Pelodiscus sinensis: one gene and its partners. The main gene of each other region encodes a partner of the protein of the gene in region 3 in a complex. Links are inferred from orthologs where the notes say so. Each region holds a gene or a part of one and is shown on either strand. Other genes may lie near its edges. The genes, in order: CCNT1, USP15, SART3 and USP4.

Region 1 (7,793 bases), on a different chromosome or scaffold from region 3:
CAAATTAAAAAATACCCCAAAAACAAATGCTAAAATAGCCCATCAAAGCAGCAGGCAACCTGATCAAAACATGGACATTGATTCTAGACTCCTTTCACTACACCAGAGCAGAGCGTCACCCATTCCAACCAGGTGATTAGAGTACCACGATGTTACAGTCTATAACACTTGTAACCAGAGTTACTGACATCCAAGCAGAACAAAACCTGTTGGGGATAGAAACAAGCCAAACTGCATATTTTTAAGCTAACAACTCAAATTAAAGTGAAACCTGAAAACACATGTATTCGAACCAAAGCATGAACTAGTGGTGTGAAAAAATAGTTTGTTGCCTGAACTCTTGCTCTCCCATTGGCCAGCTGTGCATCTGCCCTCCAGCTGTGAAGAAGACTGTGGAGTTAGACTTTCCGCTCTGCAGAGCGCTCCTGGGTCTGGGATTCGAGTGGAAGCCCGTCCGCTTTGAGAAACTTACCCAGGGTCTGCAGTATAATGCTCTCTAGAATGACCAGGTCTTGGGCTTGCTGCAGGTAAGCCTGGGGTTGAGAGGACAGGCAGGTTACTCACGATGAGCCACTCTGTATAAAGCCTGCACATTTCTAACTCTCTCTCAGGGAGGCCACAAAAATAAATTAATAAAAAAAAATCAAGGGGGAATCTTTATCCCACTCAGTACTAGAGGGAACTGGCACAGATTCCCCCCCCAAAAGAGAGAAAGCCAAGTGCTGGATGGGTACACTCCTTTGCTAGTGTTCATTTCACATGGGTTGCTGTGGCTGGAACTACGTGCTTTAGTCTTTGTCTCTCCATAAGAGTTTTACACATGAAGGGACATGTCAATGTGAGAAGCGTAGGTTAAAATTTAACCTTTTCATCATTTTCTACAAGCTTTGGCTCCTGGATAAAGCTTCTCCCTTTCAGCAGGGTTGGACACTCAGTTCCAGTTATGAAGGGCTGTCATGAGAGATGGGGAAATGGAAATATTTTTAACAATCTCATCATTAGACAGGAATGAACCATACACACTATTTTCTGCTTTGTTACAAGTGCTATTTAACCCTGACAGACATGTTCACTCCCTGCCCAGAAGCCTCTAATGCAGACACGACTACATGGCACATCGGATTCTTTTGTTGACATCCATGTAATAGAGGGAAACATGAGAGACCATAGAGCAGATGAGACAAGTCATCTACTCTTTAGAAGCCTGATGAGACGCTTTCCCACAAGTTATTTCTATTACCAGGATTCTACATGTCAGGATGCAGTACTCTGTGAGTATGTTCTCATTCCTCTCTCTCAAGCATGGAAATCATTCTGCTGGAGTCTGACCACTTACCTCGCTCCTAGTGTCTGGAGGGGTGTCCAGAGGATGCAGGCATGCGTGTGCTACCTTGATTACATGCTCCAGCTTACGAGGCTGTTCCTCCACCTTGGCTGCCAAGAACAGAGCTGCTGGTGCCACAGACTTCATTGGGCGGGGGGAGGGGAGGGGAGGGAAAAAAACATAAAAATTGTCTCCTGCTTCAAATATTCACACGCCTGTAGTGTCAGTGTCCAGACAGGCTCTGCTGCTATGAACCTCTCTGAGCAACCTTAGAGCTATGAAACAGTTGTATTTACTGATTTCCTCCAGGCGTCAAATCTATGGTGTAAATATGGATTTTAGGAGCTACAAGAAAAGTATTCCCTTTTAAATGCCTGTAGTAGGAAAACACTGTGTTTTGTTTTAAAGTCAGTAAAAGTGCAGGAAGTCAACTTCTAAAACTAACTAAAGAAACATTCATAGAACAAGAAAAATCTTTTAAGGATCCAAAGAATGCCAGCTGTGACAAAGTCATAATTACTGGCCATTACATTACATCTTTTGCCCAAAGATATCAAAGTACCTAATCAGTCCAAGCTCACAATCTCCCCTCCCAGGAGGTAGTCCAGTATTACTTCTATTTTAGAGATACGTAAATGGAAGTACAAAGAAAAGATGCTCTTTAGGTCACACAGCAAAGAGAACCCAGATCTCTTCACTCCCCCCGTTGTGCCAATTTAGGGGCAGGGAAATGTTGATAACGAACAGCTGTCACAGGAGGCTGTCCCCGGTTTTCAGACAAAAGGCAACTGCCCAACCAATACTTACGTTGCGGTGAAACTGGGTGAAGGACTGAACCATGTAGAACCGGTGCACATACACGATAGCTGTATTGATGGTCAGCTGAGAGCTGACGGCGTGGAGTTAAGAAAAATCAGTCTTGAAATTCTGCACGTCCGCCCCCCTCTTTCTGGGGAGCGGAGCACTTTGGCGGGCAAGGCGCTGGTGGCAGGCAGCGGTGGGCAACGTGCAGCGCAACGGGGATCTGCATGTGGCCCCGGAGACGCTTTCTTTACAGAGCCCCCCCCCCGCAGAGGTGGGGGCTGGTTTCCATCCGCGGAGGTTTTTGTTCTCTACGGGGGCTACTGAAGGGACGCGCAGGTGAAGCCAGGGGCACGTGCAGCGAGGGGGGGAGCCGGGCGGTCCCTGCTACGGTTCCACCGCCCCGGGAACGCAAGTGCAGCGGGCGGCGGCAGCACCCCCCCCCCCCCGGGAGAGCGGCCCGCGCGCGCAGCGCACTCGCCGGCCCCCCCGCCGATGCCAGGCGTCCCGCGGGAGGCGCGGTGGGGAGGGGAGGGGTCACTGAGCCGCGGGCGGCCCGGCTGGGGGAGGGGCTCGCCCGGCGGGCGGCGGGAGGGGGCGCGTTTCCGCTGCCCCGGGCCCGCTACTCGAGCCCCAGGCTGCGCGGCCTACCCGGCGCGGATACACGTTGAGGCGCTGGCCCATGTCCTGCAGCAGGTTGGCCGCCTGCTGCCGGTACGAGAGCTCCTTGTCCGGGTCGAGCCCGGCGCGCCGGGAGGGGCTGCGCTCCAGCTGCTCGCGGCTGAAGTACCAGCGCTTCCCCGCGCCGCCGCCGCCGCCGGCCCCTCCGCTCACTGAGGCCTCCATGGCGATCCGCGGGGCGCGCGCACGCCCCCCCCCCCACCGGGCGCGCGCGCGCGCACGCACGACGTCTTGCGCGCGCATGCGCCCCGCGGCGCGAGCGGGCGGCGGGGCAAGCAGGGGCCGCATTGCGCATGCGGCCGGCGCGTCCCGCGTTCAGGAGTACGAGCCGAGTCCAGCTTGTGCGCAGGTTGCGGCTAGGCCGCTGAGTGGGACTGCACTGCGCATGCGTGAGACCTGGGGGGGGCGCCTAGGGAACAGAAGTGGGCATGCGCAGAAGCAGGACCCTGGGGAGGCGGGTCGCTGGGTGGGGAGTGGTGTTGTCTTGACCTCTGACCCTTCTAGCCAACCTGACCCAGCCCCCCCCCCGTGACCCTGCCCTTCATCCCACTTCCATGACCCCCCCCAGCCCTCAGTGACCCCACCCCCCATGACCCCACCTGGCATCCCACCCCCCATGACCCCAGCTGACACCCCAACCCCGTGACCCCCACCCCCATGACCCCACCTGGCATCCCACCCCCCATGACCCCCACCCCCATGACCCCACCTGGCATCCCACCCCCCATGACCCCAGCTGACACCCCAACCCCGTGACCCCCACCCCCATGACCCCACCTGGCATCCCACCCCCCCATGACCCCAGCTGACACCCCAATGCCGTGACCCCCACCCCCCATGACCCCACCTGACATCCCACCCCCCATGACCCCAGCTGACACCCCAACGCCGTGACCCCCCACCCCCCATGACCCCACCTGGCATCCCACCCCCCATGACCCCACCTGACACCCCAACGCCGTGACCCCCCACCCCCCATGACCCCACCTGGCATCCCACCCCCCATGACCCCACCTGACATCCCACCCCCCATGACCCCAGCTGACACCCCAACCCCGTGACCCCCACCCCCCATGACCCCACCTGGCATCCCACCCCCCATGACCCCAGCTGACACCCCAACCCCGTGACCCCACCCCCCATGACCCCACCTGGCATCCCACCCCCCATGACCCCAGCTGACACCCCAACCCCCTGACCCCCACCCCGTGACCCCCCCCGACTGCACCTGAGCCCTCAGCCCCCTGCACCTGTGACTCCAGACCACCCCATGCCAACACAACCATTTTTAGCCCAGCCTCCCACCAGCCCAGAGCCCAGTCTCCACCCCCTGCTCATGTATAAGTGGCTGGTTCTGCCCTCAGGGCAGAGCTGCCCCTCCTCAGTGCATGGCAGTGCTCAAAGAAGCAAACAGGAAAAAAAGGGTCCTAAGGAACGGGGCTGAAAAGAATGTAGCACCCTACTCCTGGGGTCCCTCGGCTGGGACGTGAGTGAGAGATTCAGAGAGATGCAATGAGGATGATTCACAGATTAAAAGGACTGGGACTTAGTGAAGAAAGTGAAGTGAAAGAAAGTGAAAAAAGAAGAGACATATGTGACTGAGATTTTTAAAGTAAACATTGGAGAAGGAACTTGGGCATGGCGCCGGCTCTTATTGCAGGGGAAAGGTGACAACCAAGGGCATTTAAGTCTGATGAGACATTGCATTCTACAAAGCACAAATAGCGTAGCTCACTGCTACAGTATATAACTGGGGGCAAAAGCTTAGGAGATTGAGCTAAAAGGAGCACCCATTTATAGGGCCAATGAGAGCCACAAGAGTAAAATTTGCATTTTACAAGGGACAGAAATGCCCCAATGATGGGGATGAAACCTCCACTCGGTGATGGGGAAGTAGAGCACTTTCTTCTTAGGGGAAGGTTTTTCTACAACTGCTCACTTCAGAGTTTCTTGCCCTTCTGCCTCCAGAACTGGCCCCTGTTGGAAAGAGGATGTTTCCCTGCTCAGCCAGGGCATTCCTATGTTATCCGGGTTGGTTTACAACAGATGGCCAACACAAAATAACAGAGGACAAGGAAGACCGCTGGGAAAGTTGAATTCTTCCTACTAAATGTTTGCATGCTGGTTGTGCCCCCAAAACTCGAGGAGGGGGGCAGGGCCCCCACTGTACTGTGTACTGTATGCATATAGAAATGAGGTAATCTGTCTGCTGGAGTCCTTTCTAGACACCAAACATCTGCAAGTGCCTGAGCAATTCCTCAGATAGCAGGATGCCAGACACTTTGGCCTACACCCACCCAGCACCCCCACAACATCAAAATAGACTCCCCTGGAGCAGGCTGGCAGCTCCAGGGAGGGAATTAATTTGTGACCAAGGACTCCAGACTCTTATTGCTAAAGATCTTCAGTGTTGCTGACTGACCCACCCCGTAGAGATAATCTGTCCTGTGCGGGATGAAGGACAAAGTGACCCTGCTGACATCCACACAGCCTAGAGAACTCCGTCTGCTACAAGGTCCTTGAGAATCTCATGAGACAGCATTTTCAAAGAACTGAACGGACACCAGTTTATTTACTTGAACGTGAGATCAGCCAGACTGGGTCAGAACAAAGGTCCATCCAGCCCAGTATCCTGTCTTCCAACAGTGACCAATGCCAAGTGCCCCACAGGGAATGAACAGAACAGGGAATCATGAAGCGACCATCCTCTGTCACTCATTCCCAGTTTCTGACAAACAGAGTCTAGGGACGCCATCCCTGCCCATACTGGCTAATAACATTGATGGACCTGTCCTCCATCAATGTATCTAGTTCTCTTTTGAACCCTGTTAAAGTCCTGGTCTTCACAACATCCTCCGGCAAGGAGTTCCACAGGTGGGCTGTGCATTGTGTGAAGAAATACTTCCTTCTATTTTAAACCTGCTACTAGTAATTTCATTTGGTTCTTGTGTTATAGGAACAAGTAAATAACTTTTCCTTATTTTACTTGGAGCCCCCAGAGAGCAGACCGATTGGAATGACTCCTAGTCCCTACCTATCTGCACTGGATTAAAAGCAATGTGTGGGTAGGTGCCTGGAGTGCTGATGTGATTGAGGTGCCAGGATTTTCCCGTTATACGAACAGCAGGTGAGCAGAGCTCCCTGAGCTGGAGTGGAGAGGGTTTTTGAGGGGCCAACCCTCCTCCTTTTGCTGAAGTTTGGTCTCAGGTACCCCAGATTTAATACAACACAAACCCAAGCCAGAAGACAAGCTGTCGTCGTGACCACCTCCCATTACAGCCTCACAAACCCACATTCCAACTGGGTGGGAGGAGAGTCACCAACCAGGCTGCTGGGGCATCTCTATGGCAACGGAATCAACAGTTGCTTCACGGCAAAGCACCAGGGGCTGGAGGGAGCCAGAAAGCGCCTTCCTCGACTGACCCGGGCGGACGCAGGCGGCGTAGGAAATGGCTTTCTTTGGATTAACCTACCTGGGGTACCAGGAGCCCTTTCGGGAGAAAAAGCTGGCGTTAAAAACACCTGATGCAGCAGGTAAGAAGAGAGCCCAGATGCTATGGTGATGGGTGCATTAGAAACAGACCCGACTTGTCGCTGGTTGGTGGGCCAAGCACCCTGGAGAGCAGACTGGGGCTCTTCGTAGGGCAACAATTACAAGGCTTTTCCTTGGGTGATGTTAAAAAACTCTGACCCTCCCCCAGTCTCCTGGTGGGACAGCCCAGTGGAGTGGAAGGGGACAGGCATGTGTCAGTTAATAAAAGCCCTTCGCCAGTCGCCCCAGGGTGGTAGTGGTTTAAACCTGGAGCGGAGCCCCACTAACCCAAATCACTGTAGCATTCCAGCAGTCCCGCTACCTCCCAGTCTCTCTGCATCCGAGGCTCATGGGTGGAGGTCAGAGGGTCTCTTCCAGCCTCCTTAAGTTACCTCTGGCCTCATGTTCCAAGTACCATCCTGCCAGATGAGGATTGGACAGGTCTCTCTGCAGGAGTCACTGTTTGTAGCTGGCTACTTGAGCCTGCAGAAGGGTCAGGTTCAAACCCCCTCTGGGCAGCAGAGACTGAATTTCAGCCACTGACGAGCACCGGTCAGCAGCCCAGGTGTGAAACAAGTTCTCGGAGGACCGGGTTTCTACCTCAAAACTCACCATGGCCTTGGAAAGGGTTCAGAAAAGGGCAACTAAAATGATTAGGTGTTTGGAACGGGTCCCATATGAGGAGAGTTTAAAGAGACTGGGATTTTTCAGTTTAGAAAAGAGGAGACTGAGGGGGGATATGATAAAGGTATATAAAATCATGAGTGGTGTGGAGAGGGCCAATAAAGAAAAGTTATTTATTAGTTCCCTAAATAGAAGAACTAGAGGACACCAAATGAAATTAATGGGTAGCAGGTTTAAAACTAATAAAAGAAAGTTCTTCTTCACACAGCGTGTAGTCAACCTGTGGAACTCCTTGCCAGAGGAGGCTGTGAAGGCTAGGACTATAATAGAGTTTAAAGAGAAGCTAGATAATTTCATGGAGGTTAGGTCCATAAAAGGCTATTAGCCAGGGGATAAAATGGTGTCCTTGGCCTCTGTTTGTCAGAGGCTGGAGAGAGATGGCAGGAGACAAATCACTTGATCATTGTCTTCGGCCCACCCTCTCTGGGGCACCTGGTGCTGGCCACTGTCGGCAGACAGGATACTGGGCTAGACGGACCTTTGGTCTGACCCAGTCCGGCTGTTCTTATGTTCTTACCATGCCAGGCCCCCAGCCGCCCTGCTGGGGCCGTCTCCTGGGCTTCATTTTAAGTTTCCTTCTTGTCCTTCTCCTCAGGGCCGAAGCCACTCAGAGGGGGATTATTTCACCCATCGCTCCCCCCCATCGGCCCTGGGCGCTTGGATGGCACGGTGCACCAGGGCAGCCACGACCGCTATCGAGAGGCTGTGACGCACCGTTGGCTCCAGAGAAGTGAGTGAACAGTGTAATTCTCACGAGAGGGGGAACACGGA
Region 2 (7,277 bases), on a different chromosome or scaffold from region 3:
AATATATAATTAAGATACCCTTGGCTCTGGAAGGGTTTTTTCCCCTCTTTTTTAAAATTCAAAATAGTTAATTCAAGCACGTACATAGCCTGAAGTGTAACATTTAAAGTTGGGGGGCCATGCTGGTAGGAAGGTTCAGGTCCAGTCTCTGGGGGATATGAGGCCTTTAGGAATTGTTGATTGAAGAGGAAGCCCACCTTGAACTCAGTCTGAAATGGTTCCTATCCCATAGGACTGATTCAGCTTCCTCCCCTAGCCAATCCCCTCTTCTTCCCCCATTCTGCTGCCATTGGCTTTCACTACAATGTACAGGTGAAGGTCTCCCCTGTGATAAACTGGCCATGGTGCCACTGGATCACCTGTCCCAAGCTGGACTGTGGCAGGTCAAAAAGTAGCTGGGCCATAGCCCTCTGAGTCTGGCACCTATGCAACTACTGAGAGAAGAGCTTTACAATAGGGACATAATATCCTGGTTAATCAGTTTAGCATTGAAATGTTCTGATTAATTGCTTAACAGATTAAATGGGGCCTGCGCTGGAGCTCCCCTCCTGGCCACGGGCTGGGGGACTGCTCCAGCCAGGCCAAGCCCACCGTGGCCAAGGGCTGCTCTGGTGAGGCTGGGCTAATTGTGGACAGAGGCTGCTCTGGCTGGGCTGGAGCGCCCCTGCCTGCACTGTGGAAGGTGCCTCATAGCTGTAACAGTCACCTACCCATTGCAGGCGGGGAACTGCTCCAGCCCACTGATTAACGGTAACCAGTAAGCATGAACCAGTAAGGGTGATGCTTATCAAATATGGTTAACCATTCATGGGCCTGTTCTCTCCCCCCGAGTGCTCCTCTGGCCGCTGGGGGCATTTTCTGTTCCCCTTCCTTCCCCTGCCTGCCCAGGGCATTTTCTATTCCTCCAGCACCCCCATCCTGGTCCCCAGAGGTGTTTTCTTCCCCCCCCCCCCCCCAGCAGTACCACATAGCTGAGAACAGCCTCTTTCTCTCCTCCGGTGCTGTGGCCAAAGGCAGGGAGGAGGGCAAAGGGTTTGGGGCAGGGGGACTAGTTACCTGGCGTGTTTGCAGGCAAGATAGTGGAGCCTCAGTGCTGCTCGCCACTCCCTTGGTGATATGGCTTCCCCCGTAGGATAGCTCTCTCCTGCGGGCTTGCTGCCTCTAGTGGCCACTTTCAGTATTGCATCCCTTCAAACAGGACCTCCCCTTGCATGTTATAGGAAACAGTCCTGTTCCTGGGCCTTCCGGTTGTCCTGGCACAACCAACCCCCGACCTTGCTTTAAGTTAGGAGAAAAGGAAGCTGAATGCCAAATATGGTAACCCTACCTCTAACTGTTTAGGACAGTGTTTCTTAAATTATGTTCCGTGGCACACCGGTGTGTTGCAAGGCAGTCGGAGTAGTGCCGTGGAGAATAACAGAGTTCAAAATGGCTGCCCTTAAAGGGGTGGGTGACTTTTTTTTTTGCTCAATAACTTTTCCCCCAACCTTTTTTTCCCCTCAATAACTTCCCCCTGACCTTTTTTTTCCTCAAAAAATCCTTGATGTTCCTCATAAAAATAATTATTGTTTGGTGTTAAAAAGTTTAAGAAACAGAAAGACTTGCAGATAGACACACAAAGATGCACTCTAAATTATATATAGAGAAGATTACTTCATATTCATAAAGCATTTGAAGATACAGAATACTGCGTAAGGGCTAAGTATTTATGGAAATATTTTTTAAACATTGTATTACATGTATTAAATAAAATAACCCCAATAACTCTTGAAGAATAGACTTGTTAAAAAAACAACCTCTTTCTCGCATGTAGGAGCTAAATATTAAACAGTTTCATTTTCAGTTATCCTAATTCTTCAGCTGAGACAGAGTTCCAGATCTATTCATTGCAGATCAAATACCCCATCTGACTGTACAACCATGCAATAGGCAGGAAGGTGGAGATTGCTTCCCTTAGTGTTATTACAACAGTCAACTTGATCCCATTACAAGACAAAAATTAACTTTTGTGCAGCCTTGTTACAATCATTAGTTCTCATGCTTCTCAGCTTAGGCTGAATAGGTCATTTATATTAGTTCTAGAATAGCCACCAGCAACAAGCTATGTACTAGGGATGATAAAAAACATTTATTTTTGTAAATATGTAATTGCTGAATTTTTTAGTGGTTACACATTTACATGCAGGGGGTCAGGCACCAGCTGGTGCTCACAGAAAGCAAGTTCCTCATGGGCATGGGCTTCTCCTCACCTTGCTGCGAGGTGAGGGGTTTGTGTAACTGTTAGGATTAACTGGTGAGCTCAGACTTATTGGTTAATTGTGTAAATGAGTACACACTAACATTCCTATTATGTACAAAGACAATATTTCTGTTTATTGAAACAGTTGCTCTTGCCCTTTCTCCCATTTATTCCTCTAAATAGATCATTAAAAAAAAATCTAATCACCAAAACATACCCTAGCTATTTGGAGGGCCACAGCAGCAGCCAAGGACAGTTCAGATATCTTTCTTGTTAGGATTATGATATCATCATCATCATCATCAATAACCATGGGCTCTATACTTGTTGGTGTCCAATGCCTCCCTATTTCCTTCCATCTTTCCCTCTCTAGTGCGGAGTGGCTTAGTTTCTGTAGACTAGCTCCGCACCAATCTACTATATCATCTACCCATTCTCTGTGGGGTCTGCGATATGCTGACCAAAAATGTGTATTTCCTTTCTGTATATTCATTGCTGTTTATTCTTTGAATTTTTTGCAGTTCTCTCCTCAGCAAACAACCTATTCTTGTATACTCAATTATCCACAGTATCCCGGTTTGAACAAGTCTTTAGTAGAATCTACACTACTGAATACATACAGCCAGTCCCCGAGTTGCAACGGTCGAGTTACGGTCGCTTTGTAACTCAAAGGGGTCCGAGTTATGAACAGATCGAGTTACGGCCAAGTGTTTGGCCCGTAACTTGTTCATTACTCTGGGAGAGGCTGTAATTAAAAGTAAGCATATAATACAATAGTAAAGACCATATGCCTAGTGTATACAATATTGAAATACATCTTTATGTAATTCCAGATGCTGCATGTAAATTAACTATTGATTTAAAGACAGACATATGCATATATACATATATACCAGGGCTATTCAACATGTGGCCCGTTTGTTTGCGGCCCGCTGTTGCAGTTTGGGTTAACATGGGGCTCATTTTTTGAGGAGTACAGGATCTTTCAAAAAAGGGTTTTTTTTCCCCTGAAAGAACCACATCTAGACATCGATTTTACTTTCAAAAAGCCCTTTTTCGAAAGACTACCGCCATTATACAAATGAAGCACGGGAAATTCAAATCCAGGCTTCATTTGCAATTTGTATCTGTCTAATTTTCATCCCTCTTTTGAAAGAGTGATGTAGCTTAGACATAGCCTGAAAGTCCCAGGTTATGTGGGGGAGAGGTCTTTTATTGGACCCACGATGTCAGTGAGAGAGACACTTGCCAGGCCTGGAAAAGGCGCCTGCCTTTGTTGGCCAGAGATTTTGAGACTGCCCCAGGAAACGTGTCTATCTCTCCATGCCAACAGACTAGCATGCAGTAAGAGACACCGCCTCACCCCACTGGGCTCTGGGGCTTTGCTGCCAGGATAGCGGGGTACTTTACGCTGGCAGGTGGCGCTCCCCGTCCTGCCCCAGACTGGCAGCTCTTTTTTCTCCACCCGAGGGGGTCTTCTGCGAGACCTCTCAGAGCTGCCGGAGTTCTACCAGGAACTCCTCCAGACTTGGAAGCTGTTCTCGGCAACCAGGTCCATTGTGACCATTGTAGGGAATAATTCTGGACACTCTGGATGCAGGTGAAAAAAAGTCAGAGGATTTATTACACACTCAGCGCTGGCGGAGTGACAACCAGGGGTTAACCTGGTGAACACTGGTTAAGCAAAACATTACAGTAGATTATATAGGCGGCAGATGGACAGAGGAGAAGCAATTTGATAGGGTCTGGAGGCAAGACGAAATGAGCACGTAAGCCAATAAACTACAAAGGTTACATAGCATCTCCGCGACGCAGGGCCAGGCGCACGCGGCTTGGAAGAGTCCAGACCTGTGATAGCGGCGCGTCCCCGCTCCCTCTCGCCTGCTCCTCCCCCCGTCACACCCCGCCACAGGCGGAGCGGAGCCCGCCAGCCCGCCAGAGGGCAGCAGCGGCTCCCCGCGCCCGCAGGTCACGCGCGGTCTCCCCTCTTGTCTCCGCCTCCCTGTTGCGGTGGCGAGGGCGTCTCCCAGTTGGCGTCACTCCCAGCATGCAGCGCGGCCCGCTCCTGCCCCTGCTGCCGCCGCCACCGCCGCCGGGGGGAGAAGATGGCGGAGGGAGGCGCGGCGGATCTGGAGACCCAGCGCTCGGACGTCGCGGCGCTGCTTAAAACCGCCCTGCGCAAGGGCGACACCTGGTGAGGGAGGGGCGGGGGGCGGCGTTGGGCCCTGGGGCGAGCGGGTTCCCACCCTGGGGCCGCTGCGCTGTGGGAGGTGGAGAGGGGCCGATAGGCTCCCTGCTGGTAACGGGGCGGGCCGGGCCCTGCACCCACCCACCCTCCCCGGGGGGTGGCGCCCGCGGCTTCAGGGGACAGCGGGGCTCGGGAGCGGCTGAGGCCGAGCTGCAGGTGAAGGTGGGGGCGGGGCCGCGTTGGCCAGCGGCGCTGACTCTTCCTGTGTCCATGAAGTCTGCCTCGGCATGGTCCGAGCTGCCAGGGCCCTGCGGCTGCCCGGAGCAGGTAGCTCCCGCCGCTCTGGCCCGAGCCCAGCTGGGCATGCGGGGGAGTTCCGTGTGGCCAGGACAATGAAGGGCCTGGGATTGCCGGGCGTTTGGCCGGCGCCGGGAAGGGGGCGATGAGCAGAGCTCGGTCCCTCCCTTCCCCCCGGCAGGTACCTGTTCCATTATTCAAACATAAACCAGGGAAATGGCCCCACCTGCCCTTTCGGGTAGCGACAGGTTTCATATTTGCCAAGCGGAGCATCCCAAAAAACCTTTCCCCCAGTCATGCTAGGCCTCGGGTCAAGCTTATCACTCCATAGCGTGAAGCCTCTGAAGGTGCTAGCAGACAGTGCTGTTTAATTGTAACTTTAATCTGTTCTTGTGTTCAGATGTCTTGTATCTTTAGGTTTCAGTTTTTTAATTGACAGGAGATCATACAAACTGCCTCATGCTTATGAAGCATGAAACAGATCTAGTAATTCCTTTTATTTGCTTGGTGTTCAGTTACAGGGAATTCTCAGATTCCTGGTTCCTAGAAACCGTCTCCTGAGTAAGATAACTTGAAAAATTCTTAGTACTTCCAGGAGGACTAATATCTTCCCTCCCATTCACACTCCTACCCACGCCCTGAAGTGTCACAAATTTAGATTTACTTAAAAGTAAGTGTGATCCTTAGAAATAGACCACCTACATCATTTTGACTTAATATGTCACCACTTGCTGTTCTAATTCTGTAAGATATGGTATTTAATGGTGGTGCTGCTAGAACATGTGTCAGAGCCATACATACATTCTGATGCATTATTCAAATGCTGATGAGTAGATATTCGTTTCTTGGCATAAGAACAAGTTGGTTTTAAACTCTGCAAAAGTAGAAGCATCTAGAAAAAAGGGAGCCAAGTATAATTAACATATTAATACTGAAAATAAGAAATAAGTTTGGGTCAGACCAAAGGTCTGTCCAGCCCAGTACCTTGTCTGCCAACAGTGGCTAATGCCAGGTGTCCTAGAGGGAGTGAATCGAACAGGTAATGATCAAGCGATCTCTCTCCTGCCATCCATCTCCACCCTCTGACAAATAGAGGCTAGAGACACCATTCCTTACCCATACGGCTAATAGCCATTTATGGACTTAACCTCCATGAATTTATCTAGTTCTCTTTAAACCCTGTTATAGTCCTAGCCTTCACAGCCTCCTCAGGCAAGGAGTTCCACAGATTGACTATGCGGTGTGTGAAGTAGAACTTCCTTTTATTTGTTTTAAACCTGCTGCCCATTAGTTTCATTTGGTGGCCCCTAGTTCATATATTATGGGAACAAGAGATGATTAATAGTGTTCTGTTTTGAAAGGGATTATCACTGTGACCAGTGTTTCTTGTTTAAGTGCAAGGAATTACACTCAAACCAGTAGTTTCTTCCATTTTGAATACTGTTAACAGTGGCCATTGTCTTGCTGCAGAATAGGAGGATAAAACAGTAAGTTTAACAAAAGTCGACTTTTGAACATGTTCAAAAAATTCTGTTGACTTAGATAAGTGTAAAGGGGCAGCCACTGTTGTTGTTTTTGCAGATACAGACTAAGTCCTGTGGCAACTTAAAAACTAACAGATTTATTTGTGCATAAGCTTTTGTGAGTAAAAACCACTTTGTCAGATGCATGGAATGGAAATGTATTTGATAGATATTAGTATAACGGTGTGGTCAAAATGGTTGTACAGGTTGAATCTAGTGCAGCGCTCTTGGGACCTGACCAGTGCTGAGCCAGAGAATTTGTGGAACCATGGGAAGTCAATATTTTCTAGCAGCAATACCAACACTCCCACTGCTTACTGGGCTCTTAGAAAACATTTAGGGGTAAATTAGAGCTAAATAACAGCACAGAAAATTGAGAGCCGGGACCAGTGGAGATAAACGTACTGCAGGAAATTTGGCCATACCCATGATATGTGGACATCTGGCTAACTAAAATCACTCTGGACCAGAGAGGTTCAACTATATTTTCTTCTGTATATAATATCAGACACTAGGTCTGAAATTTAGTATGATTGTAAAACTTCTGCAAAAAAACTGCTTATTTTAAGAGGCAGAGCAAGTATAAAAATGGATATGAACCTCTTACTGACATCAAGTGTTCAAATAGTAATATAGTAAGTTGGTAGGTTTTACGAAACAAGGTTACCTTTATAGTATTTCATAATAAGACTGGGTAGTAGCTTCTTTAGCATTGTTATAAGCAAGAAAGTAGGTCTGAAGCAAGCAGCATATCACAATTCAGAACTTTGGTAGTCATTCATACAAAAGAAAGTTATGCTGACAAAAAATGCATGCCAACTTCTATTCTAACTTACTTTGCTCAGGGTTAATGACTGGTTTACTCTGGCTAGCATATCTATATGTGCTGATAGTACTACGTGGCTACGTCTACACTGGCCCCTTTTCCGAAAGGGGCATGCTAATTTTACAGGTCGTTATAGGGAAATCCGCGGGGGATTTAAATATCCCCCGCGGCATTTAAATAAAAATGTCTGCCGCTTTTTTCCGG
Region 3 (7,628 bases):
GAGGTGGTCATCTTGAGCCACAGATTTGTGAAAGACGTGTTTTGAGGACTAACCTTCAGGATGGGGTTGTGAGAGAAACATACAAAGAATTATTTTGGTATGCTTACTGATAGTGCAAAAGCATTTTAAAAGGGTTGTGTATAAACAAATTGCTCTGACCACCCTATCAACATCTTTCCCATTCTCCTTCCATCCCAAGATACCAGACGTAAGCAAAAAATTTTCATATGAACAGCTTCTGACAAACAAAGGCTAGGGACACCCTTCCTACCTATCCTGGCTAATAAATATTGAGGGATATATCCTCCATGAATTTAACTAGTTCTTTTTTGAACCCTGTTAAAGACTTGGTCTTCACAATATCCTCTGTCAGGAAAATATGCATAAATTATTTCTGGCTATGTAGGCCAAAGCCACTTTGAAAATTAAGCTATCAAAGTAAGGTCTGCTTTTCTAGAAATGGAAATTAAGATTAGTAAACTAGATCACATTTCATTGACAGGGATGAAATATTTTTAACCTGCTTCATTGTAGAAAAAATTCACACTAGGTAAAACGGAAACTTCATACTATGCTTCTCATGGTTCCACATATAGCCTCTAATAATGAATGGTGTAGCATTAATAGCGATTTATGCTGCTAGTTTTTGTGTAATATGCTCTTTCACAGATGTGAAGTCAGTTTTACCGTTTTTCCTTTAATCCATTCTGTGGCCAATGAGCTTGAGGCAATTGCTGATCCACAGCCAAATGTTTTGAATCTTGCATCAACAATTTTTCCATTTTTATCTACTTCAACCTGCAAGAATTCCAATGACATTGATTTGGTATATAATATTTGTGTTATATATTTGGTTACATAACATTCTTGTGGTACTATAACTGAAGAGGACTCAGCTTGATAATGATTTGATTTCAACCTATTCACAGAAATCAAGGCAAAGTATCCTTCACATTGGTATCCATGGTAGCAGAATAGGACCTAAGAGTAAGGCAAGGAATACTGTAAAACATTTACATTTTAGTTCTAGAAACGGAAAGTCATTTTACTAGTGGTTTAAGACAGCAGTTACAAGTAGACTTTAATGGACATCATCCACTTAAGGTCTACTTTTGTTTCAAAAGGTGAGTTAAATGTAGTCTTCAGAGCTGACACCTGCCTCTAAATCCTCCTGATATTCTTGTTGATTTTCACCAGAACATTTTAACAGTGGATAACATGACAATGTATGGGAAACAATCAGATATATAAATGAAATAGAGGCTCTTTTATATTTTTTATTTTACCACCTGTAATACCATTAAATCAGAATTATCCACCAGAAGTTTCATGTGAAGGCAGTTCTCATTTAAGACTAATATGTTCATATTCTGTAACTTTTCATTTTGTAAAGTTACTTGCATGTCCTCTCTTTTTTTCTGGCAAACAGCTTATATGATTGTCAACATAACCAGCGTGGTCAGTTCATAATATTCAATATACTAGAGATCTCTCAGTGAACACAGAAATAATCATGTTTGTTATTTGATAACTCACCTGTAATTTCATCACATCTCCACAGGCAGGGGCACCCACTAATCCAGTGCCAACGTTCTTTGCACTCTTATCAAGGGAGCCCACGTTTCTAGGATTTTCGTAGTGATCCACTACCTAAAAGGGAATTTTATTGGCAAGGATTATGGTATCTACAGTCCCTGTCTAGGAAAGCGCTCACAACGTCTGTGCAGTTTAAAACATACTGCAAGAAAGCCCAGTGCATGGCACGGCTGAGAACCTCCCCAACGCTGCCCCAGCTTCAAGGGCATGGGAGTCCATAAGCCCCCTAGTCCCACAATAGCCAGACCTCCTTCTCCTTTCCCAGTCCCAAGTTTCCCACACAACTCCCAGGATCCCATCCTCTTCTTCACCCCTGCCAAGTTCTTTCCTCCCAATCCCTCTCTGCTCTACCTCCCCTCCATGCTGATCTCACAACCAACAACCTCCTGCCCCAATGCTGCCCCCACCCCTCCCCCCTCTCTACTCCCCCCCGCCCCCAATGCTGCCCCCACCCCTCCCCCTCTCTACTCCCCCCCGCCCCCAATGCTGCCCCACCCCTCCCCCCTGTCTACTCCCCCCGCCCCCAATGCTGCCCCCACCCCTCCCCCCTCTCTACTCCCCCCCGCCCCCAATGCTGCCCCCACCCCTCCCCCCTCTCTACTCCCCCCCGCCCCCAATGCTGCCCCCACCCCTCCCCCCTCTCTACTCCCCCCCGCCCCCAATGCTGCCCCCACCCCTCCCCCTCTCTACTCCCCCCCGCCCCCAATGCTGCCCCCACCCCTCCCCCTCTCTACTCCCCCCTGCCCCAATGCTGCCCCCACCCCTCCCCCCCTCTACTCCCCCGCCCCCAATGCTGCCCCCACCCCTCCCCCCTCTACTCCCCCGCCCCCAATGCTGCCCCCACCCCTCCCCCCTCTCTACTCCCCCGCCCCCAATGCTGCCCCCACCCCTCCCCCCTCTCTACTCCCCCGCCCCCAATGCTGCCCCCACCCCTCTCTACTCCCCTCCCCCCTCTCTACTCCCCCCCGCCCCCATCCCTCTCTACTCCCCTCCCCCCTCTCTACTCCCCCCCGCCCCCATCGCTGCTGTCAGCCTCTTGCCCCCTCACGCCCCGCCCCTAAGGACTCACATCTCGCCTACAAGGCCCCCCCCGCCCCCAGTGCTGCTCCCGGCCCCCTCACTGACCTTCTTGTGATACCCCGCGGCGGGGCCTGCCAACCCCCCGGGCCCGGGTCTCAGCAGCGCAGCGGCAGCCCAGCCCCCCGTCAGCCTCAGCGCCGCCATCTTCTCTCGGCAGCGGGCAGCGCGAGATGTCCCGCCCTGTCCCCGCGCACTGTTAGGAGCGCGTCGCGTCACGCCCCCCACGTGACCCGCACGTGTCCTGGCCCCGCCCCCTCGCGAGGGGCAAAGGGCAGTGACTTGCGGGGCTCAAAGAGCAGCAGCTAGAAGGCGCGTGTCCGGCCCCTCCCCCCTGTGGTATCCAACCCGGCCGGTCACGTGTCTGCTGGTGCCGGCGGGGGCCGCGCAGCGCCGCGTGCAGCAGGGCGCGCCCCCAGGACATGTTTACGGCGCTTTGCATCCTTTTGCTCTGCGCTTGGGAAATGGACCCTCCACGCCTGCTCGGCATCGCTGCCCCGGGAGAGCTGCCCAGGCCTGAGCGAGCCAATAGCCGGGTCTGGATGAACCCGAGTATTGCCCGGCAGAAACCAACCCAGGCTTAACCAACAGCTGTTCTGTGCCTGGGCCCGGTGCACATTGTGCACACACCCACTTGCCTAGGGGAGCAACAAGCCATCCAAGCGGGGAAGACCCAGCCCACTGAGATATGTGTTTATGCCTTCCAGGCTTATTGCAATCAGTGGAACTCCTTGCTAGAGCAAATTGTGAAGATCAGGGTTCAAAAAAGGACTCTTGTACATTTCAAAAGCAGAAGTGCCAGGAGTGGGAACTGGTATGCTTCTGTTTCCATCCCACAGTGGAGACATGGTGGTGGGAACCTAATTGGTTCTTCCCAGCACAGGCTCCTGCTCCCTTCCACCTAATAGTTGACTAGTTGCTTAGGCTAGTCACTTACATCTCTAAAGCCAACTGTGTTTTGCACCATGTTCAGAACCATTTACAGGACTCACCTAACAGCTGGCTGACAGATGATCCACTCTCGGGCTGTGTCTAGACTGGCCAGTTTTTCTGGAAAATCAGTTGCTTTTCTGGAAAAACTTGCCTGCTGTCTACACTGGCCGCTTGAATTTCCGCAAAAGCACTGATTTCCTACTGTAAGAAATCAGCGTTTTTTGCGGAAATACTATGCTGCTCCCATTCGGGCAAAAGTCCCTTTTGTGCAAAACTTTTGCACAAAAGGGCCAGTGTAGACAGCTGAGATTTGTTTTGCGCAAAAAAGCCCTGATCGCGAAAATGATGATTGGGGCTTTTTTGCAGAAAAGTGTGTCTAGATTGGCCACGGACGCTTTTCCGCAAAAAGTGCTTTTGCGGAAAAGTGTCCGTGCCAATCTAGACGCTCTGTGCCGAAAATGCTTTTAACGGAAAACTTTTCTGTTAAAAACATTTCCGGAAAATCATGCCAGTCTAGACGTAGCCAGGCAGTTTATCCAAAGCCTGAATTTGTCCTATACAGTGTTGTAGTTTGACAATTAGCTAGTCAGGATTCCAGACCAGAGAGCTAATAATAGTCTTGCTCTGTTGTGATCAGTACTTGGTTTCTCATTTGGCTTCTGAGGGAATGAGTTCTAATGGGGGGGGGGGGGGGGGGAGAGAAGAGGTGCAAGTTTTTTTATTCATATTCCCATTTGCATATTTCCAGACCTTGCTGCCTTAGGATGCTTTACAGTTTTATCAAATATTTAGACAGCATCCTGAACACTGAGGTTGGACAGGTCAGAGGGAGTTTTGCAAATATCTGTTTTAATTTCTTGTGCAAGGTCACCAGAAAGAGGTAAGAGGGATGGAGGGGTGGACTTTGCAAATACATTTCACCATATTTAATTCCCATGCCATATCCCATTCTCTAGTGATGCAGCTACGGGAACTTTATAAAGACGAGAATATTTAATTTCTTATGCACTAGCCCCTGCACCATCCATGATACACGTACATCGTGTACTGAATGTCCAGTTATTACAATGGCTCTCATCCTGCTATGGTTGTGGGAGGATGAGCGGGGACGCAGCAACAAGACCCGAGCCATTTTGCTATGGACAGAGGTGCTCAAAGCCCAAGCAAGCCTTTGAGCCTGCGTACAGAAGAGTTGCCACACACAATATGGCGGCCAAGCCTGGGTCCTTCCCCTACCGACAAGCCCTGGCCAGGGGGACCTCCTTCAGGGCCCCGACATGCCCAGGAGGACCTCAGCAGCCCACGCAGGTGCCTGTAAGAATCCATCACGAGAAGGCCGTGACTCCCTAATCGGAAACAGCCGTTGCTGCAGAGCTGAGTACAGCGAGCTCCACCCGGGCCTTCAATCTTCTTGTCGGGGGTGCGTTCAGCATCTGCGCGGGGACGGGCGAGTCAGGCGCGCCAGCGGCAGCCCCGCGGCTTGGCCGAGGTCGGCAGGCAGTGCGCAGCGCGTAGCTGCACAAGATGGCGGAGGCGGCGGCAGCCGGGCCCGAAGAGACGGCGGCAGTAGCGGCGGCGGCGGAGGAAGAGCGGCGGCCGGAGGAGCAGGGCGGGGACGAGAGCGACTCGGGCTCGTCGGCGGATGGCGAGGACGAGGAGAAGGAGAACGAAGCCGAGATCCAGCGGCTGGAGGAGCAGGTGGGGATCGCGGCCCGGTGCTCGTGGGCACGCGGGGGGAGGGGGCGGGGCGCGAGCCGGGTGCGCCCGCGAAGCCCGTTGCCTCGCGCGTGGAGCCGCCCTCAGCCCTGCCTCGGCCGGCGGGGTCACCCTCGGTTCGGTCCCCGCAGCGCGCGGGGAGGGGGAGGCGGCTCCGCGGCTGCGGCTCGGGGTGTGCAGGAGGGAAGCGCCGCCCTGGGGGCTCTGCGAGTAGCGCCCAGGCCAGAGCATCGGGCCCTCATCCTTGGGGGGTGTGAGCATCCAGACTGGGGGCTAGTCACTGCTCAGCAGGAGCCCCCACGCTTTCTGTAGGGTGCACAGAAGAACAGAATCCTTCTCTGCCCTTGCTTATCGCTGCTTGCCTTCATCTGTTAGGAGCTATAGGCCAGGGATTGTCTGTGTGTGCACAGGAAGCAGAGTTGCATTTTGTGGGGGCTAGGGCCGTACACATCATTAATATTGATAGAGCAAAGGAATCAATAGGTGATGGAGTCTGTATCGTGGCCCCCCCATTAAATGTTGGAGCACAATTAACATGTGAAGAAAGGGAGAGATTTTTGGAACTAGTGGATTAAAGAGAATAAGGAACATGTGATAGTATAGATGGGTGAACTTTTAGGTGTGGGGAATTCACACCCATTCATTCTGTAGTGTTAATCCAGGATTGTATAATTCTGCTGTCTGTTGTAAAATATCAAGAAATCCTTTCTGTTTGTTTATAGTCTCAAATTCTTTGAACACACAGTGGAACAAGGGATGTTAAAAATCGTGTAATAGGGTAACTGTGAAACTGCTAAAAATCTTAGTGGCTACATGTGCTACTGGTTCAGCAGTACTGTAGAGCCTTCAGTGAAGCTGCCTACCTCGCTTGGGAGGAGGAAGAGAGCTGCTTGTCCTCCCTGGGAAGGAAACTTCTCTTCCCTACTGCAGTGAAACCACCTCCCCCTGGAATTGGTTGAGTGTAATCTGTACCATTAACTGATAAGCATCAGCTGATTGGTTAAACAGTTAATCAGTTAAACCCTAATATTGCTAACAAATTCAAAGTTTCATAATCATGTGTAATGTATGTACATTATACTATTCATAAACTATGTGTGGTTTCTGTTCGAGAATTGAAATATGTACCTTTTTTAGCTGTCTTGGTACACAACCCTTTCAGTTGGAGACACTTTCAGAATTTCTACAGAAATGTGCTCTTCGCTTTTAATTTCAGCATGGTAATTATGAAAATGTTATATCTTTATGAAATAGTTCTGTTGTGTAATTCTTTGGTGTTTTAATTGCTATGGCAAACTGGAATAGTGCTAACTTCAGAGGGTTTTCTCTATGCACTGATTACTGAAATAATTGATGGTTGCAACCAGGAATAGAACTTCTTGAGGACTAATATAATTGGAAAGCATGCGTGTCTGTTGTTGAAATGAACTGCAAGGTGGACCATGCAGTAACAAATGTTTTTCTGAGCTTGACGTACATTGAGAATAGGGAGGCAGAACCTTAATTAGAAAAGAACTTCGATCTTTTCACATCTCAGAAACTACTATTTTATCTTGAGAACTGCTTATGTTTGCTATTTCCAGTTATTAGATGGGAAGCTAACATTTTTTGGATATTTATATTAGTTTACTGGAGCAAATTCTCCGTTTTTGTACAGTGTTATTGAAAAGTGGGATCTACTGCAATTTGGATACAAACCATCAGTTTTACCACTAAAATGATGATTAGACAAATGTGCACAACTGCTTAGTGAGATTTAGGCACCTGCTTATTATGCTTATCACCTGAGGATCCACATTATTAAACAGTGGCTTCTAGCTCCAAGGGCTCAGTTCAGTCACCTGCCAAAATAGAATCTTTCATTTTGTACCCTCAGTGGGCTTTGAAAACAATGAAACATTGCACAACCTTTATGCAGACTGGTGAAAGGCGTGTATTATTTTCACTTCACATTGAGCAGTCTGGGGGTAGGTCTACACTAGCACTTTGACTGGTGTATTTTATGTTGCTCGGGGTGTGAACAAACCACTCCCTGAGCAATGTAAATTACGCCAACATAAGAACCATTGTGAACTGCTCTATGTTGTTAAGAGATCTTCTCCAGCTGCCACTTGTTGGGGTGGATTAATTGGAGAGCTCTCTCCAGTCCACTGAGAGCAGCTCCACTAGAGAGCTTACAGTTGCACTGCTGTAAGCTCTATAGTGTAGCCATTACCTGAGACACTGAAGGAATTGATGGCACAGTCCAAAATAGAACTCTGAAGTTCTACCCTAGTAACCAATTGCTGGATATACTCTCTTACATT
Region 4 (7,569 bases), on a different chromosome or scaffold from region 3:
ATATCGAAAAACTCCTCCAGCAAGACCCCTAGAACGCTCTCAACCAAGCCAAAGTTCTGCAGAAACTTTTCTCTCTCGGCTCTGTCATCCTCCTCAGGCTTGTTATCTCTGCCTCCTGTTGCCTCAGTCTGCTGGCCTTCAGGTCTCTCACCTGGCCTGCCTGCTCTTTCTGTGACCTCTTTGCCCTGTATGTACAATGCTATTGTCCATGGAAGTTTTACTCATGATGGTGCTTCTTCCAAACCCTTCCGGAGGAGCACTTGATGTTGTCTGTAAAAGTTGCATGTGAATTTTTAGCAAACTGCTGCAGGGGAAGCAGCCCTGAGTCTGGGCAGCTTGTTTTGAGCCTTTGTGTTACCAATACAATTCCTGAAGACCATCTGCCTGTCCTTTTGTGACATCACTGCCTCGTTAGCGGGGGAGGGGGGCAGATTAGTGTCTCATGGCTTCTGTATGGAGAAGGGGTGGCCACGTTGCACTGTCGTGGTTGTAAAGATTTTAACCATCCTGTCTGGTCTGACCCAATTTATAGCACTGGCCAATCGGGGTGATGGGAACTGACCGGTTCTGTCCTATTGCAGTGGTCAGGGCAGTGGTTGGGGGTGTGTGTGATAGGACAGCACCTGGTGGAAATGTGTGGGATCGAGTGCCAGGGGTTCAAGGCAGGGAGCTGGAGCGTGAGTGGGGGGCACTCATTGCAGGGGGTGGGAGCTGTGCAGTGCTTGGGGGTGGGTGGGTGGGTGCAGGAGTCAAGCGAGAGCTGTGGGGGTTCAGGGCAGAGAGTTGTGGGGTGGGGGCTTCAGGGATTGGGATTGGGGGGACCCAGGGCTGGGTGTGCATTTCCTGTACTGCAGGACAATGGGTCCCCGGGGCTGCCCAACTGCTTGGGTGCCAGGCTGGCTGGGACAGAGGAACTAGGGATGTGAAGGACTAGTCACTTCCCACCCCCTTGCTGCATCTCTCCGAGGCAGCAAAGGGGGGAAAAAGAGGGGGTGCTTCACAGTGGCAGCACCGCACGGGCTCTGGGACCAGACCCCGGGCTCCACACGGTGCTGCCACTTTGAAACACTGCGTGAAGCCCGGGGCCAGCTGGAGACTGCCTCACTAGCCCCTGCTCCCCGCAGCGCTTTCTCATTTGACGCGTAGCAGCAGCCCAGGGACTGTTGCCTCTCTTCACAGGCGGAGGCGCCTATCGGCTAATCGAATATATGATGCAAACTGCACCGACTATTCGATTAGCCCATTCATCTAAATTGTACATCCAGAGCCCTGCCCCCAGCCAGCCCGTCTCAGTGTGTCACTCCGGGGCATGCCAGCTTGCTTCCAACTTTGCTGGCACCCATTCTGTGCTGGGCCTGTACCCCCTCTGGCCCAGCCAGGACCCCCATCCTGGGCTCCTCGGGAAGATGTGTCTCGGCTGCCTGGCCTGGGGGTTCCAGATGGATCAGCACTCTGCCTGGACTGTGACCTCCCCAGCAACACCTGGCTGTAAGGCAGCCTGCTGTCCACTCCTCAGTGACAGGAACCCCTGTAAGTGCCCCCCCTCCCCAGCTGCTTCTGTCGGGCCATTACTGCGAAGGTAACAGCGTTACCAGGAACACCCCCCCCCCTCCCCCACTGCCTGCCAGCAAACCTGCCTCTGACCAGGGAAGTCGTTCAAACACCACCTGCAGGTTTTCCTCGTGCTCCGGACAAGAACCAGCTAACTCCTTCCTGAGCGGGTCTCCAAAGTGCTCTGTACAAGGTAAGCAGCAGACTGGGGTCCTGTCCCCGCCCAACCCCTGGAGGGTGTAACTTCAAAAGCTGAGCCCCGCGTGGGAGTTTGCAATCTGCCCCCGAAGTCCAATTCACTCGAATTGTCTCCACGATGAGTTATGTCTGTGTCGGCGTGTGAGCGATACTCCAGTACTTGTCGGAGGTGGCATGAATCCTGTCTTCCAGGTGTTTCCAGGTCACCCCACAGTAACGCTTCCATTGGTAGTACAATGAACTGCCAAAATGCTGCAACTTTGAATTCAGCATGGCTTGTGCTGGGTGTTACAAGTATTTGTCATAGCAGCTTGTTCTGACCTGCTCAGGAGGCAGAGAATGCCGCACAAACCTTTGCTTCAAATGGGGAGTGAGGCTCAACAGTGGCTCACACATGTTCTGGTCTGTGACGGGGCTCGTGGGACCACAGCTCGTGGGAGACGTGGCCTGGAGGAAGTGACAGATACGTCCCCTCTGCTCTCACTTGGGGCTTGTGCACATGGAGAATGGCAGTGGGAGATAAGGGGTGAACAGATAGCTGCACGGGTGTAACTGTTGTGTGCACTCACCAGACTGGCCGGGGGGCTGGCGTGTCGCTTGAGTGGAGTGTTACTCTCCCATACTGCCGGACGTGCCCGTGGAGGGGCTGTGCGAGTTTACCACAACATTCCAGAAGAGTTAAAACAGGTTGAGCTGCTCTGCCAAGCCACATACAAGCTGCACCCTGCCAGGGGCCCAGAAGAAGGGACAGTAACAAGGTACCCAGCAGCAGTGTGTTGGGACTGGTACCGGGAGCGGCGAAATTATGTTCATGGCTTTTTCTGAGGGGTGGGGGAGGGCTTGCCTGTCAATACAATTGAGCAGGCCAATTCCTGGTGGAGAGAAGCCACCTGCGCCCTACAGGGAGGGAAGGAGGCCATGCTTAGTCCCAGTATTTGGCTGTGATTTCTAACCCTTGTGCACAGAGACGCTGCAACAAGCCTATGACAAAGCCCGGGGCAACAGGCTCTTCAGTACAGGTGAGCTGAGGTGGGTCAAACACAAACCAGCACCCGTTGGCTTGGGGAGAGGAGGAAGGTGTACTCAGAACAAGGTTGAGGAATGTTTTTTGGCCAAGGGCCAGTGACACACAGAAAAGTCAACTTGGGGCCACACACAAGAATAAAAAAACCTGTCTCTCACTCTCACTTAATTCAGTGTGCTTTGTGGGCACCAGCCCAGTGTGGGCACCCGAGGCTGGGGGCTGCCTGCCTGCTGTGGGTTGGATCAGATTAAGCTGGGGGGCTAGATCCAGCTCCCACCCAACTTTGAAACCACTTCAGCTGCTACATTTCTAAATGGTTCTGCATTCTCCAGAGCATGTCTCTGCCTCTCCTGTACTCATGCAAGCCAGTTCCTAAGGGGCAGTGGATCTGACTGTCAGTTCCAGTTTCGCATTGGGCTGAAGAAATGACTGTTGCAGTGTTTGCCACAATGTTGCTCAACTGTCACTCCTTCTGGTGTAAAACAGGATGTCTGTCTCTTGCACAGACTGCGCAAGGCTTCTGTGCTAGTATGTGGTGCTATAGTTGCCTAACTCTGATAAGTGTCTTCCTCTTTCACGTAAGTCTCCACCTCTTACTGTAACATAAGTGATGCTAAGGGTATTTTTGGGCTATCAGGAGCAGGCAGCCTAGACCGATTTCAAATGTAGCTTGCACAATGAGCGGGAATGTGCATTCAGTGGTGTAAAACAATTATGTCCTGGCTTGTGCAGCATTTAGCACCAAGCAGCTGCTGTATTTAGCATTCACAATGAAGCAGAAGGCAACATAAGGCTATGATTGGTGCAGATTTCAAAACTGTTTAGCAAGGGCGTTTTTGAAGTATGGTGGAATCTGGACTGTCTGGTTCTGGTCAAGAAATACTCGCTCCCCGCACCCTGGGGTGTGCAACGCATTTCATGGGTGCTCTTTTAGGAACGTGACTTGAAGTGGAACAGACCCGAGTCAGTTTAGTCCAGATTCTCTTACACCAGCCACACTGCAGAGACCCCCCCCCGCAGGATGTTTATGGCACAAGCAGCCCGCCAGGGAAATGCAGGACGGGAGAGTTCCGAGTGATCCCGGCAACCCCCGGCCAGACAGCCTGGGCCCTGGGGAGCGGGGCGAGGACGCGGGTGGGCAAGGCCTGGCCCGCGGGCCGCAACCCGTCTGGCCCGCGGGCCGCATTCAGCTACCGGCCCCGAGCGGCGGGGTCGCGCCCCTGCCGCAAAGGCAGCACTCGCCGGACGTAACGTCACGGCGGGGCGAGGGCAACGATGGGGGAGGGGCAGGACGAATGGGGTTTGCGGGAAGGATCCGGCGCCCTGGGGACGGGCCCGGAAACGATCTGGGACCACCGGGGGGGGGGGGGGGGCTGCCTCTCTCCACCCACATGGCACAGGCTGAGGCGGGTAACGCGGCTGCGCAGAGAGGCGCCGCCCTCGGGCGGGTAACGCGGCTGCGCGGTGAGGCGCCGCCCTCGGGCGGGTAACGCGGCTGCGCGGTGAGGCGGAGGCACAGACTTTGCGCCTCCTAGCGGCGCAGCCTCTAACTAGGAGCCAAACGGCTTCTTACCGTTGATATGTAAATTAGCCTCTCTGCTTCTGGAAGGGGAACTTGCCCCCCGCCCCGCCCCGCCCCGCCCCGCCCCTTCCCTTTCGCGCCCTTCAGCCCCGGCGGCGCCACAGGGAGCCGGCCGAATGCCCAGGCCGGGCAGCGCCACAGCGCACGTTAATGCGCATGCTCAGGGCTAGAAGAGCCGCCCGGGCGGAGGGCACTGCGCATGCGCCCGGCAGGCCGGATATCCGCCGCGGGGGGTGGGCGGTGCTGCGCGCACGAATATGGCGACGGAGTTGGAGAGCGGCGGGGGCTCGATGCCGGATGTCGGGGCCCAGCGGGCAGAGCTGGGGCCGCTGCTGGGCATGGCGCTGCGGCCGGGCGAGTCTTGGTGAGGGGGGCTGGAGAGGGGAAGCCTGGGGCCGGGGAGCGGAGCTGGGGGGGGGGAGGTTGGAGAGCGAGCCTGGGGCCGGGGAGCGGAGCTGGGGGGGGGGAGGTTGGAGAGCGAGCCTGGGGCCGGGGAGCGGAGCTGGGGGGGGGGAGGTTGGAGAGCGAGCCTGGGGCCGGGGAGCGGAGCTGGGGGGGGGGGAGGTTGGAGAGCGAGCCTGGGGCCGGGGAGCGGAGCTGGGGGGTGGGGGGAGGTTGGGGAGCGAGCCTGGGGCCGGGGAGCGGAGCTGGGGGGGGGGGAGGTTGGAGAGCGAGCCTGGGGCCGGGGAGCGGAGCTGGGGGGGGGGAGGTTGGGGAGCGAGCCTGGGGCCGGGGAGCGGAGCTGGGGGGGGGGGAGGTTGGGGAGCGAGCCTGGGGCCGGGGAGCGGAGCTGGGGGGGGGGGAGGTTGGAGAGCGAGCCTGGGGCCCGGGAGCGGAGCTGGGGGGGGGGGAGGTTGGAGAGCGAGCCTGGGGCCGGGGAGCGGAGCTGGGGGGGGGGGAGGTTGGGGAGCGAGCCTGGGGCCGGGGAGCGGAGCTGGGGGGGGGGGAGGTTGGGGAGCGAGCCTGGGGCCGGGGAGCGGAGCTGGGGGGGGGGGAGGTTGGAGAGCGAGCCTGGGGCCGGGGAGCGGAGCTGGGGGGTGGGGGGAGGTTGGGGAGCGAGCCTGGGGCCGGGGAGCGGAGCTGGGGGGGCGGGGGGAGGTTGGGGAGCGAGCCTGGGGCCGGGGAGCGGAGCTGGGGGGGCGGGGGGAGGTTGGGGAGCGAGCCTGGGGCCCGGGAGCGGAACTGGGGGGGGGGAGGTTGGGGAGCGAGCCTGGGGCCGGGGAGCGGAGCTGGGGGGGGGGGGAGGTTGGGGAGCGAGCCTGGGGCCGGGGAGCGGAGCTGGGGGGGGGGGAGGTTGGGGAGCGAGCCTGGGGCCGGGGAGCGGAGCTGGGGGGGGGGGAGGTTGGGGAGCGAGCCTGGGGCCGGGGAGCGGAGCTGGGGGGGGGGGAGGTTGGAGAGCGAGCCTGGGGCCCGGGAGCGGAACTGGGGGGGGGGAGGTTGGAGAGCGAGCCTGGGGCCCGGGAGCGGAACTGGGGGGGGGGAGGTTGGAGAGCGAGCCTGGGGCCGGGGAGCGGAGCTGGGGAGGGGGGAGGTTGGAGAGCGAGCCTGGGGCCGGGGAGCGGAGCTGGGGAGGGGGGAGGTTGGAGAGCGAGCCTGGGGCCGGGGAGCGGAGCTGGGGGGGGGGAGGTTGGAGAGCGAGCCTGGGGCCCGGGAGCGGAACTGGGGGGGGGGAGGTTGGAGAGCGAGCCTGGGGCCCGGGAGCGGAGCTGGGGGGAGGTTGGAGAGCGAGCCTGGGGCCGGGGAGCGGAGCTGGGGGGGGGAGGTTGGAGAGCGAGCCTGGGGCCGGGGAGCGGAGCTGGGGGGGGGGAGGTTGGGGAGCGAGCCTGGGGCCGGGGAGCGGAGCTGGGGGGGGGGGAGGTTGGAGAGCGAGCCTGGGGCCGGGGAGCGGAGCTGGGGGGGGGGGAGGTTGGAGAGCGAGCCTGGGGCCGGGGAGCGGAGCTGGGGGGGGGGGAGGTTGGAGAGCGAGCCTGGGGCCGGGGAGCGGAGCGGGGGGGGGAGGTTGGGGAGCGAGCCTGGGGCCGGGGAGCGGAGCTGGGGGGGGGAGGTTGGGGAGCGAGCCTGGGGCCCGGGAGCGGAGCTGGGGGGGGGGAGGTTGGGGAGCGAGCCTGGGGCCGGGGAGCGGAGCTGGGGGGGGGAGGTTGGGGAGCGAGCCTGGGGCCGGGGAGCGGAGCTGGGGGGGGGGAGGTTGGAGAGCGAGCCTGGGGCCGGGGAGCGGAGCTGGGGGGGGGGAGGTTGGAGAGCGAGCCTGGGGCCGGGGAGCGGAGCTGGGGGGGGGGGAGGTTGGGGAGCGAGCCTGGGGCCGGGGAGCGGAGCTGGGGGGGGGGGAGGTTGGGGAGCGAGCCTGGGGCCGGGGAGCGGAGCTGGGGGGGGGGGGAGGTTGGGGAGCGAGCCTGGGGCCGGGGAGCGGAGCTGGGGGGGGGGAGGTTGGGGAGCGAGCCTGGGGCCGGGGAGCGGAGCTGGGGGGGGGAGGGTGGAGAGCGAGCCTGGGGCCCGGGAGCGGAACTGGGGGGGGGGAGGTTGGAGAGCGAGCCTGGGGCCGGGGAGCGGAGCTGGGGGGGGGGAGGTTGGGGAGCGAGCCTGGGGCCCGGGAGCGGAGGTGGGGGGAGGTTGGAGAGCGAGCCTGGGGCCCGGGAGCGGAACTGGGGGGGGGGGGGAGGTTGGAGAGCGAGCCTGGGGCCGGGGAGCGGAGCTGGGGGGGGGGAGGTTGGGGAGCGAGCCTGGGGCCCGGGAGCGGAGGTGGGGGGAGGTTGGAGAGCGAGCCTGGGGCCCGGGAGCGGAGCTGGGGGGTGGGGGGAGGTTGGAGAGCGAGCCTGGGGCCGGGGAGCGGAGCTGGGGGGGCGGGGGGAGGTTGGAGAGCGAGCCTGGGGCCCGGGAGCGGAGGTGGGGGGAGGTTGGAGAGCGAGCCTGGGGCCCGGGAGCGGAGCTGGGGGGCGGGGGGAGGTTGGAGAGCGAGCCTGGGGCCGGGGAGCGGAGCTGGGGGGGCGGGGGGAGGTTGGAGAGCGAGCCTGGGGCCGGGGAGCGGAGCTGGGGGGGGGGAGGTTGGAGAGCGAGCCTGGGGCTGGGGAGCGGAGCTGGGCCAGGCTGAGTGGCACTGCTGGTGCTTTCAGGCCTCTGGCATGTGGCTCTGTGTCCTGCTGTAAGAGTGGAGCCAGTGGCTGAGTAAGGCGGGTCTCAGCTCCTGGCTGACACCCTGTACTCCTGGCCTGGGCTTTGC

Evidence for each region.
Region 1: SART3 (region 3) and CCNT1 share a complex: the UniProt entries of both Homo sapiens proteins name them as parts of the 7SK snRNP complex. The link is inferred for Pelodiscus sinensis from reciprocal best matches to the Homo sapiens genes SART3 and CCNT1.
Region 2: the proteins of SART3 (region 3) and USP15 are in contact, whole or in part, in a crystal structure (PDB 5JJW), measured with the Homo sapiens proteins. The link is inferred for Pelodiscus sinensis from reciprocal best matches to the Homo sapiens genes SART3 and USP15. Residues at the interface, in NP_055521.1 of Homo sapiens: Ser438, Ser439, Lys440, Glu443, Gln490, Arg493, Glu494, Trp496, Asp497, Met500, Thr501, Ala505, Trp511, Tyr514, Arg533, Cys537; in NP_001239007.1 of Homo sapiens: Ser23, Leu24, Asp48, Trp50, Gly121, Met122, Phe123, Val124, Lys125, His126, Lys128.
Region 4: the proteins of SART3 (region 3) and USP4 are in contact, whole or in part, in a crystal structure (PDB 5CTR), measured with the Homo sapiens proteins. The link is inferred for Pelodiscus sinensis from reciprocal best matches to the Homo sapiens genes SART3 and USP4. Residues at the interface, in NP_055521.1 of Homo sapiens: Asp437, Ser438, Ser439, Lys440, Gln490, Arg493, Glu494, Trp496, Asp497, Met500, Thr501, Ala505, Trp511, Tyr514, Lys529, Arg533, Cys537; in NP_003354.2 of Homo sapiens: Met24, Thr27, Leu28, Ser53, Trp54, Glu123, Gly125, Leu126, Phe127, Val128, Lys129, His130, Cys131, Lys132.

Annotation. Positions count from the first base shown.
Region 1 is NC_134729.1:5,163,333-5,171,125, reverse strand, and holds the start of CCNT1 (cyclin-T1), read right to left. Parts: upstream 3,015-7,793; 5' UTR 2,972-3,014; coding exon 2,790-2,971; intron 2,214-2,789; coding exon 2,132-2,213; intron 1,469-2,131; exon of another isoform or gene 1,466-1,468; coding exon 1,337-1,465; intron 952-1,336; coding exon 865-951; intron 534-864; coding exon 473-533; intron 1-472. Other genes in the region: SPMIP11 (sperm microtubule inner protein 11), read left to right, coding at 6,256-6,340, 7,618-7,752. UniProt on the Homo sapiens protein: Regulatory subunit of the cyclin-dependent kinase pair (CDK9/cyclin-T1) complex, also called positive transcription elongation factor B (P-TEFb), which facilitates the transition from abortive to productive elongation by phosphorylating the CTD (C-terminal domain) of the large subunit of RNA polymerase II (RNA Pol II).
Region 2 is NC_134711.1:59,323,385-59,330,661, forward strand, and holds the start of USP15 (ubiquitin carboxyl-terminal hydrolase 15), read left to right. Parts: upstream 1-4,266; 5' UTR 4,267-4,344; coding exon 4,345-4,433; intron 4,434-5,525; exon of another isoform or gene 5,526-5,616; intron 5,617-7,277. UniProt on the Homo sapiens protein: Hydrolase that removes conjugated ubiquitin from target proteins and regulates various pathways such as the TGF-beta receptor signaling, NF-kappa-B and RNF41/NRDP1-PRKN pathways.
Region 3 is NC_134725.1:36,567,764-36,575,391, reverse strand, and holds the start of SART3 (spliceosome associated factor 3, U4/U6 recycling protein), read left to right. Parts: upstream 1-4,620; 5' UTR 4,621-5,130; coding exon 5,131-5,304; intron 5,305-7,628. Other genes in the region: iron-sulfur cluster assembly enzyme ISCU, read right to left, coding at 688-798, 1,537-1,650, 2,722-2,820. UniProt on the Homo sapiens protein: U6 snRNP-binding protein that functions as a recycling factor of the splicing machinery. Promotes the initial reassembly of U4 and U6 snRNPs following their ejection from the spliceosome during its maturation.
Region 4 is NC_134721.1:46,559,726-46,567,294, forward strand, and holds the start of USP4 (ubiquitin carboxyl-terminal hydrolase 4), read left to right. Parts: upstream 1-4,563; 5' UTR 4,564-4,612; coding exon 4,613-4,719; intron 4,720-7,569.